Anolis sagrei: one gene and its partner. The protein of the gene in region 1 purifies or fractionates together with the protein of each later gene. This does not show direct contact. Links are inferred from orthologs where the notes say so. Each region holds a gene or a part of one and is shown on either strand. Other genes may lie near its edges.

Region 1 (7,769 bases):
TTGCTGTATTTATATACTGCCTTTCTCACCCTTGGGGGAGACTCAAGATGGTTTACAGCATACTAAGGGCAAAAATTCAATGCCAAGATACAAGAAAATGAAGAAATCATAATAAGTAATGACTACATATAGCTCTAACTAAAACTCAGTAAAACCATTAAACATAAGACATATACACAATTAAACATTCAGATAAAGCATTAAAATCATCCTAGTATAAATATCAAAATCACATAATCCAAAAATCTACAGGATTTTAAAAAGATTTTCAATTTAACTGGTCAACACAAGTTTTTGAAACTAAAATTTTATGAAACTAAAAATAAAACCAAACTAAAAATAATAATATAGGACTGTATCAATTTAGTTGCACAAAAGTGTCAAGGCAATGTGAACATTATTAACTCTTTTCTATCACTATTCCTTTTGTAAAACATACATAAACCAACAGCATTTGATGATACTTTTAGATAAAATCACTCTGACACAAGATATTTGACCACAATTGTCCAGAATACTTCAGCAGACTAAAATTACATTAACCCTAAAACAATTACATTTTTTAAAGTTGTGTGAACCCTAAAATTTGAGTTTCGAAATCTACATCAGGAATATAACTGAGGAATATTTTGGAAAATTACATATATAACTTGAATCATTTCCACAAAATATGTAACCCAGGGCCTTTCCACATATCTATAGGGAGAAAATCCCACAGAATTCCCGGAAGAGCCCCCATAATCTGAGCCCACACTGCCATATAATCCAATTCAAAGCAGATCATGTGGGCTGTGGAAGGGGCCCCATAAATAAACAAAAGTCCTGGGAAGGCTTTCCCATCCCATCCCATCCCATCCATCCTCCTTTCCCACCCAATCTATGCATAGCAATGACCCCTTTTTTTTCCTTGAAAGCAAATTCTTAAAACTTACTGGAGTCCTAAATATTAAAACAACAGGGCTGGCTTTCATTTCTGTATCCTTCCTTTCTCTTGTGTGTGTGTGTGTGTGTTTTCCAGGCCACGTTTTTTGTTTGCCCTGGAACCAGGCTCCACTCACTCTCTCTCCTACACACACCCTGACCCCCTCCCCCTACAAACCCACCATTGTGTGCTCTTTACAAATGTTGAAAATTATGAATGGTTCCTTGAACCAAGAGAGGAGGGGGAAACAGAGAGAGAGGAGGGAGGAGGAATGGGGGTGGGTGGGTGGATTCTGTATGGTAATCCTAGGGCTGCCTTGCCTGCTGACCATGCCCAGTGCTGCTCCCCTTCCCCTTTAAGGAAACAGCACAAAAACCCACCATTAACTAAATTTAAAAAGACAGGAGGAGGGGGAAGGGTTAGGGTCTGGAATGGGGAGAGGGAGGGGGGAGAGAGGCCGCTCTGTCCGGAGGAGCACGCTTTCCTCTGCCCTCCCACTTTCTTTCTTTCTTTCTTTCCTTCTAATCCCCCTCCAACCGGCCTCCACCCCTTTTGTCCTTCGATTCATAACGTCGTGGAGGCATCACATTCACCAAGGCTCACCAACGCGCCAGAAATATCACTATGCAGGAAAAGGAGGGGAGGAAAAGGAGGGGTGGCAAGGGGGAGTGGGAGGGAACGGTTTCAAGGAGACCCTTCCCTTCTTCTTCTTTTTTCCCCCGGCCTCAACAAGACCCCGGCTTGCTTTTTTTTTATTTTTGTCTCCTCCTTTTCTTTCCTTAAGCAAGGAGCCAATGGCCAGCAAGAAAGCCAAGCCAGCCACCCAACATTGAAATAAAGAGCAGACCAAACGCACATGGATGGGATGCTTTGGAAATCATCATAATAATCTATATAAATAAAAATGTAATGTTCGTTTGTGGGGTTAACATAACTCAAAAACCACTGGACGAATTGACACCAAATTGGGCCACAAGATATCTACTAATCCAAGGAGTGATCATCACTAAAAAAAATTATTTTTTTTCATTTGGGAGTTGTAGTTACTTTGATTTATAGTACACCTTCAATCAAAGAGCATTCTGAACTCCACCAATGATGGAATTGAACCAGATGTGGTACACAGGACTCCCATGACCAACAGAAAACTCTAGAAGGGTTTGGTGGGCATTGACCTTGAGTTTGGGAGTTGTAGTTCTCTTACATCCAGAGAGCACTCTGGACCAAACTTGGCACGAATATTCCATATGCCCAAATATGAACACAGATGGAGTTTGTGGGAAATAGACCTTGACATTTGGGAGTTGTAGTTACTGGGATTCACCTACAATCAAAGAGCATGCTGAACTCCACCAACGACAAAATTGGAGCAAACTTCCCACACAGAACCTTCATACTTAAGGCCATCCAGTCCAACTCCCTTCAACAAGGCAATGTAATCAAAGCCCTCCTGACAAAGAGCCATCCAGTCATAGATATAGATAGATATGATTCACACAGAGATATAGTATCATAGATTTGAAAGGCACTCCTAAAGAAGGACAATTATATGTTGCATGTTCCAGGGTGAGCAAACCAGACAATCTCCACATCAACACTGACAAAGAAACAGCAAGAAATGCTGTTTACACACAAGCATAAATAAATTACATATATTAGAAACCAACACTTTCTAATTACTTTGTTTTCCAGATCACCAGACTGGAACCCGTGGCAGGGGACCGCTAGTAATCTATATAAATAAAAATATAATGTTCGTTTGTGGGATTAACATAACTCAAAAACCACTGGACGAGTTGACACCAAATTTGGACACAAGACACCTATCAGGCCAACAAGTGACCATCACTCATAAAAACACTGAAAAACACAGCAGAAGAGACTTTAAAAGCCAAAAATTTTAAAAATACATTATAACCCATGCGGAAAACCACATATATAAAAATACACACACACACATATATATATACACACACAAAACACATATACAAAGACTGGGCCACAGCAAGGCATGGCAGGGATGGCTAGTATATCCTGAAAACTGGAATGCCTCAAAGAATAATATACCCCCCACTCTCTATCCAAAACAGGTTGGGTTGCTGTAAGTTTTTAGGGCTGTATGACCATGTTCCAATTCTGGAACATGGCCATACAGGCTAAAAAACTTACAATAATCCAGTGATTCTGGCCATGAAAGCCTTTGACAATACACAAAACAGGTCGCCTTTTAGACCTCCTGTAGAATTCTGGGGTTTGTAGTATAGGAAGGCTGTTAAAGCCCCCCGCCCTCAAACTACAAACCTTAGACCTCTACAGGAGACCACAGCTGGATTTAAAGTGGAATTGTTCTCTAGTGCAGTGGTTCTCAACCTGTGGGTCCCCAGGTGTTTTGGCCTACAACTCCCAGAAATCCCAGCCAGTTTACCAGCTGTTAGGATTTCTGGGTCTAGTGTGATGAGGTCCTAAGAGTTGTTTTTTTTACGGGTTGCTGTGATTTTTCCAGGCTGTATATAGCCATGTTTCCAGAAGCATTCTCTCCTGACATTTCACCCATATCTATGGCAGGCATCCTAAAAGGTTGTGAGGTTTGTTTGAAACTAGGCAAGCGAGGTTTGTATATCTCTGGAAAATCCAGGGTGGTATAAAGAACTTTTGTCTGGGTTGCTGTGAGTTTTCTGGGCTGTATGGCTATGTTCCCAGAAGCATTCTCTCCTGATATTTCACCCAAATCTATGGCAAGTATGCTCAGAGGGGGAGTCCACAACATACGAGCAAACCACAGATCACTTACTACAATGCAGCCTGAGCTCTGCCAAATGCAGAATGGAGGACCTTCTTGTAACCAGAATTCTGCAGGAGGGAGCAATTTAAGGTGGATTCATTCTTTACTGTGATGAGGTCCTTATAAGTACTTCATCACACTAGAGAATGAATCCACTTTAAATGGGGTTTCTGCCTCCTGCAGATTTCTGGGGTTTGTAGTTTAGGGAGGCTATTAAAGGTGCTTCCCTAAACTACAAACTCCAGAATTCTGCAGGAGGCAGCGGCCCCATTTAAAGCGGGATTCATTCTCTAGTGTGAGGAGGTCACACTAGAGAATAAATCCACTTTAAATCGGGTTTCTGCCTCCTGCAGATTTCTGGGGATTGTAATTTAGGGAGGCTATTAAAGGCTCCTTCCTAAACTACAAACCCCAGAATTCAGCAGGAGGCAGATTTAAGGTGGATTCATTCTCTAGTGTGATAGGGTTCCAAATCTCATTTGGTCGCCTTGGGGGTTTGCGATTTGGTGTGCTCTTCCCGGGCTTCTCTTTCCAAATTCCTCCCCGTGAGGGGACCAGATAACGAAGTGATTCTCCTCGAAGCCCATCGATTCTCCTCGAAGACCCCACGCCCCGATCCGCGCGAGGAAGGCTGGAAAACGTGGAGAGCCGCGGCGCCGCTTTTTACGCACGGGAGAGAAAGAGGCGCGCCAAAACGCCTGCGCGTCAAAGTGGAGATATATATAGATCTGTCTCTCTCTGTGTGTGTATGTATTAAGCAACCCAACCCGGAAAGTAGTAAACAGGGGGAGGGGAGAGAGAGAGAGAAAAAAAAGGAAAGAAAAAGAAACTTCTCCAGGACAGCTGAAAAAAAAAAAAGGCACAACGCAGCCTCTCCTTTTCCTCTTCCTTTCCTCTCTCCTCCTTTGTGAGTCGCGCTCTCTTAATTGAGGCGTTGGGATTCCTCGCGTGAGAAGTTGATTTGTAGTTTGAACACGTGGCCTCATTCAAAAAAAAAAAAAAAAAAGAGCCGGAATATTCAAGCGATTTCTCTCTCTCTCTCTTTTCCCCCTCCCTCCCTCCCTCTCTCTCTACTCTTTGGAGAGAGGCGGTGCCTTGCGATGCGCGCATTGTAACATTTCCATACTCCGCCTGCTTTGGCCACCAAAGAGAGAGAGACACACACACTCACATACAAAAGGAGAAGGAAACAAGGCAAAGAAAAAGTACTTTCCCTTCTTTATTTATTTATCTACTCCTTTCCTTCCCTAATTCCCATTATTTCCCCTCATTCCCAGTATCTCTTTGGATATGTTGCCTTTTTGCAAAGTGGGTGTGTAAGTAAGAGAGAGAGAGAGAGAGGAAGGGAGGAAAGGAAGGAGGGAAAGAGGGAGGGGTGGGGACGGATATAAGCCGCAGTTGTGATCCTTTCCTCCTTTTTTTGTTGGGTTTTTTGGGGGGAAAGCCCTCCCTCTTTGGCTTTTTATTTTATTTTATTGCATCCTTTGGAAGGATATTGTTTTGTTGTCTCTTCTGCTGCTGTTTTCCCAAGTAGTGGTGCTTCTCTTCCTCTTGTGTGTTTTGTTATTTTTTTCCACCCCTAAATTATTAAGCCAGGATCTAATTTTTTTTGTGTATTGATCCTTCACCCAAGAAGATGAACAAGCTGTACATCGGGAACCTGGGCGAGAACGTGAGCCCGCAAGACCTGGAAAGTCTCTTCAAAGAGTCCAAGATCCCTTTCACCGGCCAGTTCCTCGTCAAGACGGGCTACGCGTTTGTGGACTGCCCCGACGAGAACTGGGCCATGAAGGCCATCGAGGCACTTTCAGGTGGGTCCAACACCCCCTCTCAATACCCTCCTCCCCCTCCAAATGCCTCCCTCTTTTCCCCATTTCCCTGCTTTCCCCGTGCGCCATCCTCTCTCTCTCTCTCTTCCTTCTCCATCGCCGCGTGGTCGCCTTCTCTCTTCTCTCCATTCCCATTTTGGAGACGCGCGCTACCTCTCTCTCTCTCCAAAAAGGGACCCCTTTCCCCAGTTTTCTCCCAGTCTCTAAAAGACCTTATTTAGGATGGGGAGGGTCCGAAGCGGACCTGAAAGGGCCCCCTCTTCTCCTCCTCTTTGCCCCCCCAACAAGGAAAGGCGCAAAAAGAGAACCCCCCCTTTTTTGTTTTGTTTTGGTGGTGCCACAAGAAGGCCCAAAGCCAGGGCGCATTACGCACACATCTCTCCCCCAAGACTCCCCTTCTGCATCTCTCCAGGCTTCAGGAATAAGAGGATAGGGAACGAGGTGGGGGGTGGGGGTTAAGGAAGCCCCACTCTGTCGGAGAAGGGAGAGATGGCGAGACAGAAACGCGTGGAAAGGGCCCAAAGCTGTTGGGTGGGAAGGGACACACACACACTCTCTCTGGCTTCTTCTCCATGCGCGCTCTCGCCTTTCTCTCCGCCCCGGACAAAGGTGGCTTGGGGCGCCCAGGAAGGGCAGGTGGTTAGGAAAGCAAGCAAAGAAAGGAATATATATACAAATTCTCTCTCTCTCTCTCTCTCCCTCTCCCTCTCCCTCTCCCCCTCTCTCTCTCTCTCTCTCTCTCTCTCTCTCACTCACACACACACACAGAGTGGAGTCTCCTCTCCCCCCCCCCCCCGGTGCTGCAAAGCCCACCAACACGGTGGAGTTTTATTAAAATAGATTTGTGTTGGTGTGAGTTTTGCAAGCTGTATGGCCATGCTCCAGAAGCATTCTCTCCTGACATTTCGCCTGCATCTATGGCAGGCATCCTCATAGGTTGTGAGGTCTGTTGGAAACTTCCACACAGTCCTATAACCCAGAATATTAAAGCAGAGAATCCCTCGGTATCTGCTTTGAACTGGATTATCTGATGCCCCTTCCACACAACCCTTTACCCCAGAATATCAAGGCAGAAAATCTCACAATATCTGTTTTGAACTGGGTTATCTGAGTCCACACTCAGATGATGTGGGATTCTCTCCCTTGATATTCAGGGATAAAGGGCTTTATGGAAGGGCCCTGGGTTGCTGTGAGTTTTCCGGGCTGTATGGCTATGTTCCAGAAGCATTCTCTCTTGATGTTTCGCCCGCATCTATGACAGGCATCCTCAGAGGTTGTGAGGTCTGTTGGAAACTTCCACACAGCCCTATATCCCAGAATATCAAAACCCCTCGATATCTGCTTTGAACTGGGTTATCTGTGTCCACAGTGCCATATATTCATTTGCTTTGTATGCTCAAAGCAGATAATGTTGGATGTTCTGTCTTGATATTCTGGGAGATAGGGCCCTAGGTTGGTGTGAGATTTGCAAGCTGTACGGCCATGCTCCTGAAGCATTCTCTCCTGAAGGTTTGTCTGCATCTATGGCAGGCATCCTCAGAGGTTGTGAGGTCTGTTGGAAACAAGGCAAGTGAGGTTTGCATATCACAGTGCCATATATTCCGGTTCAAAGCAGATAATGTCAGATTTTCTGTCTTGATATTCTGAGAGATAAGGCCCTAGATTGCTGTGAGTTTTCTGAGCTGTATGGCCATGCGCCAGAAGCATTCTCTTCTGACATTTCACCTGCATCTATGGCAGACATCCTCAGAGGTTGTGAGGTTTCTTGGAAGCTAGGAAAAATGAGGTTTAAATAATGGAATTATGTCCAGGGTGGGAGAAAGAACTCTTGTCTGTTTGAGGCAAGTGTGAATGTTGTAGTTGGCCACCTTCCACTTCATCACACTAGAGAATGAATCCACTTTAAAATCCTGTTTCTGCTTCCTGCAGAATTTTGGGGTTTATAGTTTGGTGAGGGTGTTTAAAGCTCATCCCTAAACAACAAACCCCAGAATTCTGCAAGAGGCAGAAACCGGGTATAAAGTGGATTCATTCTCTAGTGTGATGAGGCCCCCTGATTAGCATTGAATGGCCTTGCAGTTTTAAGGTCTGGCAGATTGCTGCCTGGGGGGATCCTTTGTTGGGAGGTGATTAGCTGACCCTAATTGATTTTTGACTGGACTTCCCCTGCTTTTTGAGTGTTGCTCTTTAGAGTGTTTTTAAAACTGGTGGCCAGATTTTGTTCATTTTCATGTTT
Region 2 (7,148 bases), about 1.2 Mb from region 1:
TATCCGAACACATCTCCCCCTATGAACCAGGATAGCTAAGATCTTCTGGAGAGGCCCTGCTCTCAGTTCCACCTCCGTCACAGGTGGGGACTAGAGACAGGGCCTTCTTAGTGGTGGCCCCTCAACTGTGGAACTCTCTTCCTAGTGATGTGAGATCAGCCTCCTCCCTCCTGACATTTAGAAAATATGGCTTTGGAACCAGACATTCGGAGACTAGCTACAATGCAATAGACAGCTGGAAATCAATGTGACTGTAACTGGAATGGCTCAAGGACTCTGATTACAGAATTTGTGGTTGTTTTAATTGCTGTTTTCAATCCTGTTTTAATTGTATTTATATGTGCTCGTTTTTATGTGTAATTAATGTTAAAATATTTATAATTTGTTATTTCTGTTTTGATGTGGCATCTAATTGTGCCAAACTGTAAGCCGCGATGAGTCCCCCTTTGAGGGTGAGATAGGGCGGGATAAAAATATGGTAAATAATGCTGGGAGATGTGGATGTATCTTTTTACACTAGTGGTTCCCTACCTTTGGTCCTCTAGAGTTTTCGGACTTCAACACCCAGAAGTCCCAGCCATCTTATCAGCTGTAAGGAATTGTAGGAGCTGAAGTCCAAAATACCTGAAGGACCAAAAGTTTGGAACCAGTGTTTTACACAGAAATGCCAACAATAAATCTGAAGAAATATGGTGATAAAATCCTTACATATTTTATGTGGTTGTGAACTTACCAATGTAGATTTATTGGTGGCCATTTTTATTGCAGACTTGCTGAGCTTTTACTAGAAAAATGCATGACAAAAGGAATGTGTATTACTCAGAGAAAGGCATCTGAAAACAAATATGGTCCCTTTTTTATCAATGTGATTCCAAAATTCAAGTACATTAGCAACATTTGAAGTTATATTACTTATGACACTAGGCATTTGGAGTTAAGCATTACCTACAAAACATGCCATGCCTTTTCACTAACAACATCACACATTCTGATCTCAAACCAAACATTTGCAAAGAAAGCTTATACTGCAAAACCTCAAAGTGGGGTGATATCATGATGCTGGATTGCAATCCCCTGGTTTCCCCATAATTAGCTACACCAGGGCTGGGGATGCTGGGAACTGAAGTCCAGAAACATTTCAGGGGTCACAAAATCAGCCATAATATCAATATATACAACATTTATCTATGTCCCTCAAAGGCCCTACATGGCTTGATGGAAGGGGTCTCCTAGTGTGTCTCCCTGTTGATACTCCAGACCTCCTCTATTTGTCATCTTCCTCTCTGAGTAAGCTATCGGAACGCTGCATCATAAGACTCATGGGCCATCAATATATGTCATTTTAAAAAGAAAGGGGAGACCATTTCTGATTTGGCAGGATTTTAATTTGGATAATGAAGTTTGATTCAGATCCATCAAGCCATCTTGGAGCCTTTGAAGAACAACCATGTATAGTACAGGTAATTCTAACAGTTCAGGAAGATACAAGATTGCGGTCGAGTAGACAACAAATACATGCGTGACCTAGGAATCTTAAACATAGGTTGATTTGATTTTTTGGGGCTGTATGGCTATGTTCCAGAAGCATTCAAAGTCTGGCGGGAATCCTTTGTTGGGAGGTGTTAACTGCCCCTGGTGGTTTCTTGTCTGGAATTCCCCGGAGGATGCCTGCCCTACATGTGGGCAAAAATGTCAGAAGAGAATGCTGCTGGAACATGGCTATACAGCCTGAAAAACTCACAGCAACTCAGTAATTCCGTCCATGAAAGCCTTCCAACAACAAATCTTAAACATAGTTATAGAACATACACACACAAAAGGTAAAGGTTTTCCTTTGACATTAGGTCTAGTTGAGTCTGACTCTGGGAGGTGGTGCTCATCTCCATTTCTAAGCCAATGAGCCGGCATTGTTCGTAGACATCTCCTAGATCAGTGGTTCTCAACCTATGGGTCCCCAGATGTTTTGGCCTTCAACTCCCAGAAATCCTAACAGCTGGTAAAGTGGCTGGGATTTCTGGGTGTTGTAGACCAAAACACCTGGGGACCCATAGGTTGAGAACTACTGTCCTTGGTCATGTGACGAGCATGTAAAGAGTGGTGACCTTCCCGCTGGAGCGATACCTATTTATCTACTCACATTTGTATCTTTTTGAACTGCAAGGTTAGCAGAAGCTGGGGCTAACAGTGAGAGCTCATTCCTTTCAGTCAGCAAGTTCAGCAGCTCAGTGGTTTAACCCACGGTGCCACTGGACACATATAGAATAATTCATATTACAGTCCCAATGCCTTTTAACAGGAGTTTCTTTGCAAACCGATGGGGTGGATCAACCAAGAGATGCATGAAAGCAAATCCACCACCCAGAAAACTCTGCAACCCAGTAATCCACCACCTTCTGCCTGCTTCCCTTCCACTTTCAGCCATCCTTTTTTTTGTAGTGAGTGCATCCTTCCATTCCGAAAAAAATGGAATGTAAAGAGTAACGGCCTACAGCAAAGCATTGATGCTAAGCACGAGAAGCAAGGAAAAGGGGGGGGGGGGAGAGAAAGGATAGAATCCCACAATCTATATAAATAAAAATGTAATGTTCATTTGCGGGATTAACATAACTCAAAAACCACTGGACGAATTGACACCAAATTTGGACACAATACACCTATCAGGCCAACAAGTGACCATCACTCATAAAAATACTGAAAAACACAGCAGAAGGGACTTAAAAAGCCACAAATGCAAAGAGATGTTACAGTGCATGTGCAAAATGAGTACCCTGGACAAACAAAACACACAATAGCATATCCACACTTTCTTCCAGACTAGAGCTCCCAGCATCCCCTAGACCAGGCCCTTTAGGAGAGGAAGATGATGCAAATGCACTGCTTCCAAGCTGCAAGTTTGCTTCTCCTTGGATTTCTTTGAGAGCATACCAATCCCTGCATACCTCCAATTTCCTATTCCTGTACTGCAACTCCCAGGAATCCTCCAGATAGATAGTCAGTGGTTCTCAACCTGGGTCCCCAGATGTTTTGGGCCTACAACTTCCAGAAATCCCAGCCAGTTTACCAGCTGTTAGGATTTCAGGGAGTTGTAGGCTAAAAACATCTGGGGACCCCAGGTTGAGAACCACTGGATTAGATGGAGAGAGAGAGAGATAAATAGACTGATCAGGAGGACTGCTGGGAGTTGCAGTCCAAGAATAGAGAAGGAAGAAAGGAGAGAAAGAGGAAGGGGAAGGAAGGGAAGAGGAAGAGAAGAAAGGAGAGAACGAAAGAAAAAAAGGGAAGAAATGAAGGTGAGAAAGAAAGGAGGAGAGAACGAGGGAGGGAAGGTTGGCCACAGCAACGCGTGGCGGGTAAAGCTAGTCCAGGAGAATAAGACTGGGTGAAAATGCCTGGCCAAATATCCCAAAGGGACCCCATCCTTCTTTTTGGCCCCCCATTTCCAAGCATAGAGCTACCCATCTGAGGACCTGACGCTTGGAGGGATGTCACTCCTTTTCACCGCCTCCAGCCTCCGTTTCATCGGGCCTCTTCCTTTATGGAAGGAAAGGAGAAATGGATCTTACCAGTAAATGGCGGTCAGGCCGCCATTTACACATTTAAAGTTGGAGAGTGCAACGGAGGAGGGTCTTGGGTGGGCGGCCTCACATTATCCTCAAGCTAATTTTTGAGGCCTACTGCAAAACGCCCCATTTTGTTTGTAAAGAGGCCTACTGCAAAAGGCTTCATTACCAATCCCTTTCATGGGTCATAAGGCGGCGTTTGAAGAAAAAAAAAGGGAAATGGAGGAGGGGAGGAGAAAGGAAAGGGAGGAGGAGGCCACGCCTGAAGCTTTCTCGAGTTACATAAATATATATATATAGGTAAGCGGCCCTTTTCCCCTCAGAGCGGCTCATGCTGTTCTTGCAATTAGGATTATGATAAAGGGGCTTTAAAAAGGAGGGCAGGTGGAGATGGGAGGGGAAAGGAAGGATAAAATAAGATAAAGAGAAAGATACGGACTTCAATGGCGGCGGCCCAGCGTCTGCTCGGCTCCTCCGAACTGTGTTGGCTCCCCGCGCGCTGTGTGTGGAAGAAGGCGCCGCCGCCGCCGCGAGGGGAAAGGGGCGGGGCCTAGGGAGAAGCCCTCCCCTTTCCCCCTTCCCGCTCGCCACTGCGCATGCGCCGCCGCCATTATCTGCACCGCCGGTCGTTAGCCGCTTCACGCATTTCGTCTCCTGCCGCCGAAGGAGCCAAAGCGCGCCTCCCGCCTCTCTTCCCTCACTCTATCGCGCCCTTCGCTGTTTCCTCAGCCGAGATGCCTCGCGGAGACCGGGAGAGCGACTGGGTGAGTGAGGTAACGGACAGAGTGGCTCGGTTAATAGCCGGCTTTTACTTTGAAGGGGGGAGGAAAAAAGAAACTCCGCCGCCATTGTGTCCCTGTGAGTTCGAGCGAGGGGAGAAAATGGCGGCGGCGCAGGAAGGGAAAAAGCGCGCGCACAAACAGGGAAAGGCAGCGCCTAGGCCTGATTTTGAAAATTGTTTCCAACAGAGCTGATTTAATGCCCGATTCCTCACCGCGTCATCCCTGGGATTTTGTTTTCTCCTCAGGGAAAAGCGATACAAAACAGTATTGATATGATTTTTTTAAATAAACGTCATTTACGAAGGGATTTTAAAAATATATTTTACTATATCGAGCCACTACAAAGGAGAGGGGTTTCGTTAATCCATCGCCTACCCATCCCCTTTTTGGCGCGATGACACTTCGTGCTTCTTCGGCTTTTTCCGGAAACCGCAAAGAATGGATTGTTTGTCCGTTCGGGTTTTTCCGGAAATCGCCGAAGGGGCTGCGAGGGGGAATCGGTATTCTTCGGCAGTCTTCCGGAAATGGCCGAAGGACCCTCCCTGTGGTGACGAAGCGCCTTTGAGCTGTTGTCGCACACTGCACGATCACTTGTAAAACATTTTTTTTAAATAACGGTCGCATACTTCAGTCTGAAGTAATGTTTTGAGGAAAAGGGCCAAAACGGGGAATGAACAATTCGATATGGTTTAATAAATGGACATCAAAGTATTTTGTTTAAAAATGCGGAGGGGAGAGGAATGGTGAGGTAATTTCCAAGTACGTAGCAATCAAGGCCGCCATAGCACGAAAGACGAGTCCTATTCTCGAAGCGCGTTACTCCAAGCATGGTGCGTAGCATAGGAAGCTGAAGCGTCAGCGCCCCGGGTTGGAGATTGCGGCGCGCCTGCGCGAACTGCGGCAGAGTACGCCATTAGCGTAGGTCTTGGAAGCAGTGACGCAGAAACGCTGGGTGGCGCACTTGGCGCGACTGGGATGCTTCTAATGAGGCCATTGGGGAGGGGGAGGAAGGTTCTGGAAAGGCCCGCAGCGGTTGGGAGGGGGAAGCGGCCGTGTTAGTCTCTGGCACCCCCCTTAAGCCCCCCCCCCCAGGCCCACGGGCCATAGTGTGGGTCAGAGACCGTCTCTCTTTGTTCCTGGCGGGGAGGGGGGTGCTATTCGAAGACCTCCGCCTGCTCTTCTCCGCCTCAGCGCGAGAGCGGGCAGGGTGCGCGCGCAGAAGAGCAGAGCAGCCTTTCGTGGCCTTCTGGGAACGACCCCCCCTCCCCCCGCCTCGTCTTCTTCGGCGCCATTTTCTCTCCTACTCCGCTGAGGACTTGGGATTCACGGGGACGTCACATGGCGGAACCATTTTCAGCGGGAGTTCAGCAAGGGGGCGGGGGAAGGATAATGTGCTACGTAAAAATACCTAACACGAACCGGTTTTTTTGTCGTCCCCCTCCCAACCAGATTTGTCCAGCAGAGTTAGTTGATCACGCCCCATAAGGGCTCTTCCACTAAGCTCTATATCCCAGAATATCAAGGGAGAAAATCTCACATTATCTGAGTGGGGTTTCAGATAATGCATCTGTGTGGAAGGTCCCTTCCACACAGTCCTATATCCCTGAATTTCAAGGCAGAAAAACACACAATATCTGCTTTGAACTGAGTTATTATGAGTCCACACTCAGATAATGTGGGATTTCTGCCTTAATATTCTGGGATATAGGGCTGTGTGGAAGAGCACAAAGAGTAACCGTTTTTGCATTGCACCAAATCTTCTGAGGGCCTTTCTGCACATCCCTATATCCCAGAATAACAAGGGAGAAAATCCCACATTATCTGAGTGTGCTTTCAGATAACCCAGTTATCTGTGTGGAAGGGACCTAGTTTTTGCATTTTCTAGAACAATTGTCTCACCAAAGGCCCTTCCAAACGCAAAAACTAGGGCCCTTCCGCATAGATGTGTTATCTGAAACCCCACTCAGATAATGTGGGATTTTCCCCCTTGATATTCTGGGATATGGAGCTTCGTGGAAGAGCCCTTAGTTGATTACGTATGGGGCGTGATCAACTAACTGAACAAATGTAGTGGTGGTGGGAGGAGGGGGGGAGAGGGACAAAAAAAAGCCCCTCTGAATTTCAAGGCAGAAAATCCCACAATATCTGCTTTGAACTGAGTAATTAGACTCCACATTCAGATAATGTGGGATTTCTGCCTTGATATTCTGGATCAGTAGTTCTCAGCCAGGGGTCACCAGATGTTTTTGGCCTACAACTCCCAGAAGTCCCATCCAGTTTACCAGCTGTTAGGATTTCTGGGAGTTGAAGGCCAAAAACATCTGGGGACCCCAGGTTGAGAACCACTTTTCTGGATATTTGGCTGTGTGGAAAGGGCCAAAAAGTGCCTTTTTGCATTGCACCAAATCTTCTGAGGGCCCTTCTGCAGATCCCTATATTGCTGAATATCAAGGTAGAAAATCCCACAATATCTGCTTTAAACTGGGTTATCTGATTCCACACTCAGATAATGTGAGATTTTCTCCTTTGATAATGTGGGATAGGCTGTGTAGAAGGGCCCTGGTTTCCTTTAACATTGCACCACTTTACTGTAGCAATTTGGGTAATCTTCCATCCTGTTCTCAGCTTGACCACATTTCATAAAAATGCAAATTGCTCACCTGAAAGTTGTCTGCTGGCAGAAGAAATGAAAACAAATTACCTCTATTTGTTGGCGTAGGCCCCACCCACACTGCCATATGAGTTTACATTGCCATATAATCCAGTTCAAAGCAGATAATCTCGATTTTATATGGCAGTATAGAAG

Evidence for each region.
Region 2: the proteins of IGF2BP3 (region 1) and HNRNPA2B1 purify together in Homo sapiens (affinity purification with mass spectrometry; 4 studies listed by BioGRID and IntAct, with this or other methods). This does not show direct contact. The link is inferred for Anolis sagrei from reciprocal best matches to the Homo sapiens genes IGF2BP3 and HNRNPA2B1.

What each region holds. Positions count from the first base shown.
Region 1 is NC_090026.1:92,999,611-93,007,379, forward strand, and holds the start of IGF2BP3 (insulin-like growth factor 2 mRNA-binding protein 3), read left to right. Parts: upstream 1-4,763; 5' UTR 4,764-4,909; intron 4,910-5,337; exon of another isoform or gene 5,338-5,340; coding exon 5,341-5,515; intron 5,516-7,769. UniProt on the Homo sapiens protein: RNA-binding factor that may recruit target transcripts to cytoplasmic protein-RNA complexes (mRNPs). This transcript 'caging' into mRNPs allows mRNA transport and transient storage.
Region 2 is NC_090026.1:91,778,055-91,785,202, forward strand, and holds the start of HNRNPA2B1 (heterogeneous nuclear ribonucleoproteins A2/B1), read left to right. Parts: upstream 1-4,141; 5' UTR 4,142-4,156; coding exon 4,157-4,333; intron 4,334-7,148. Other genes in the region: CBX3 (chromobox protein homolog 3), read right to left, coding at 734-757. UniProt on the Homo sapiens protein: Heterogeneous nuclear ribonucleoprotein (hnRNP) that associates with nascent pre-mRNAs, packaging them into hnRNP particles.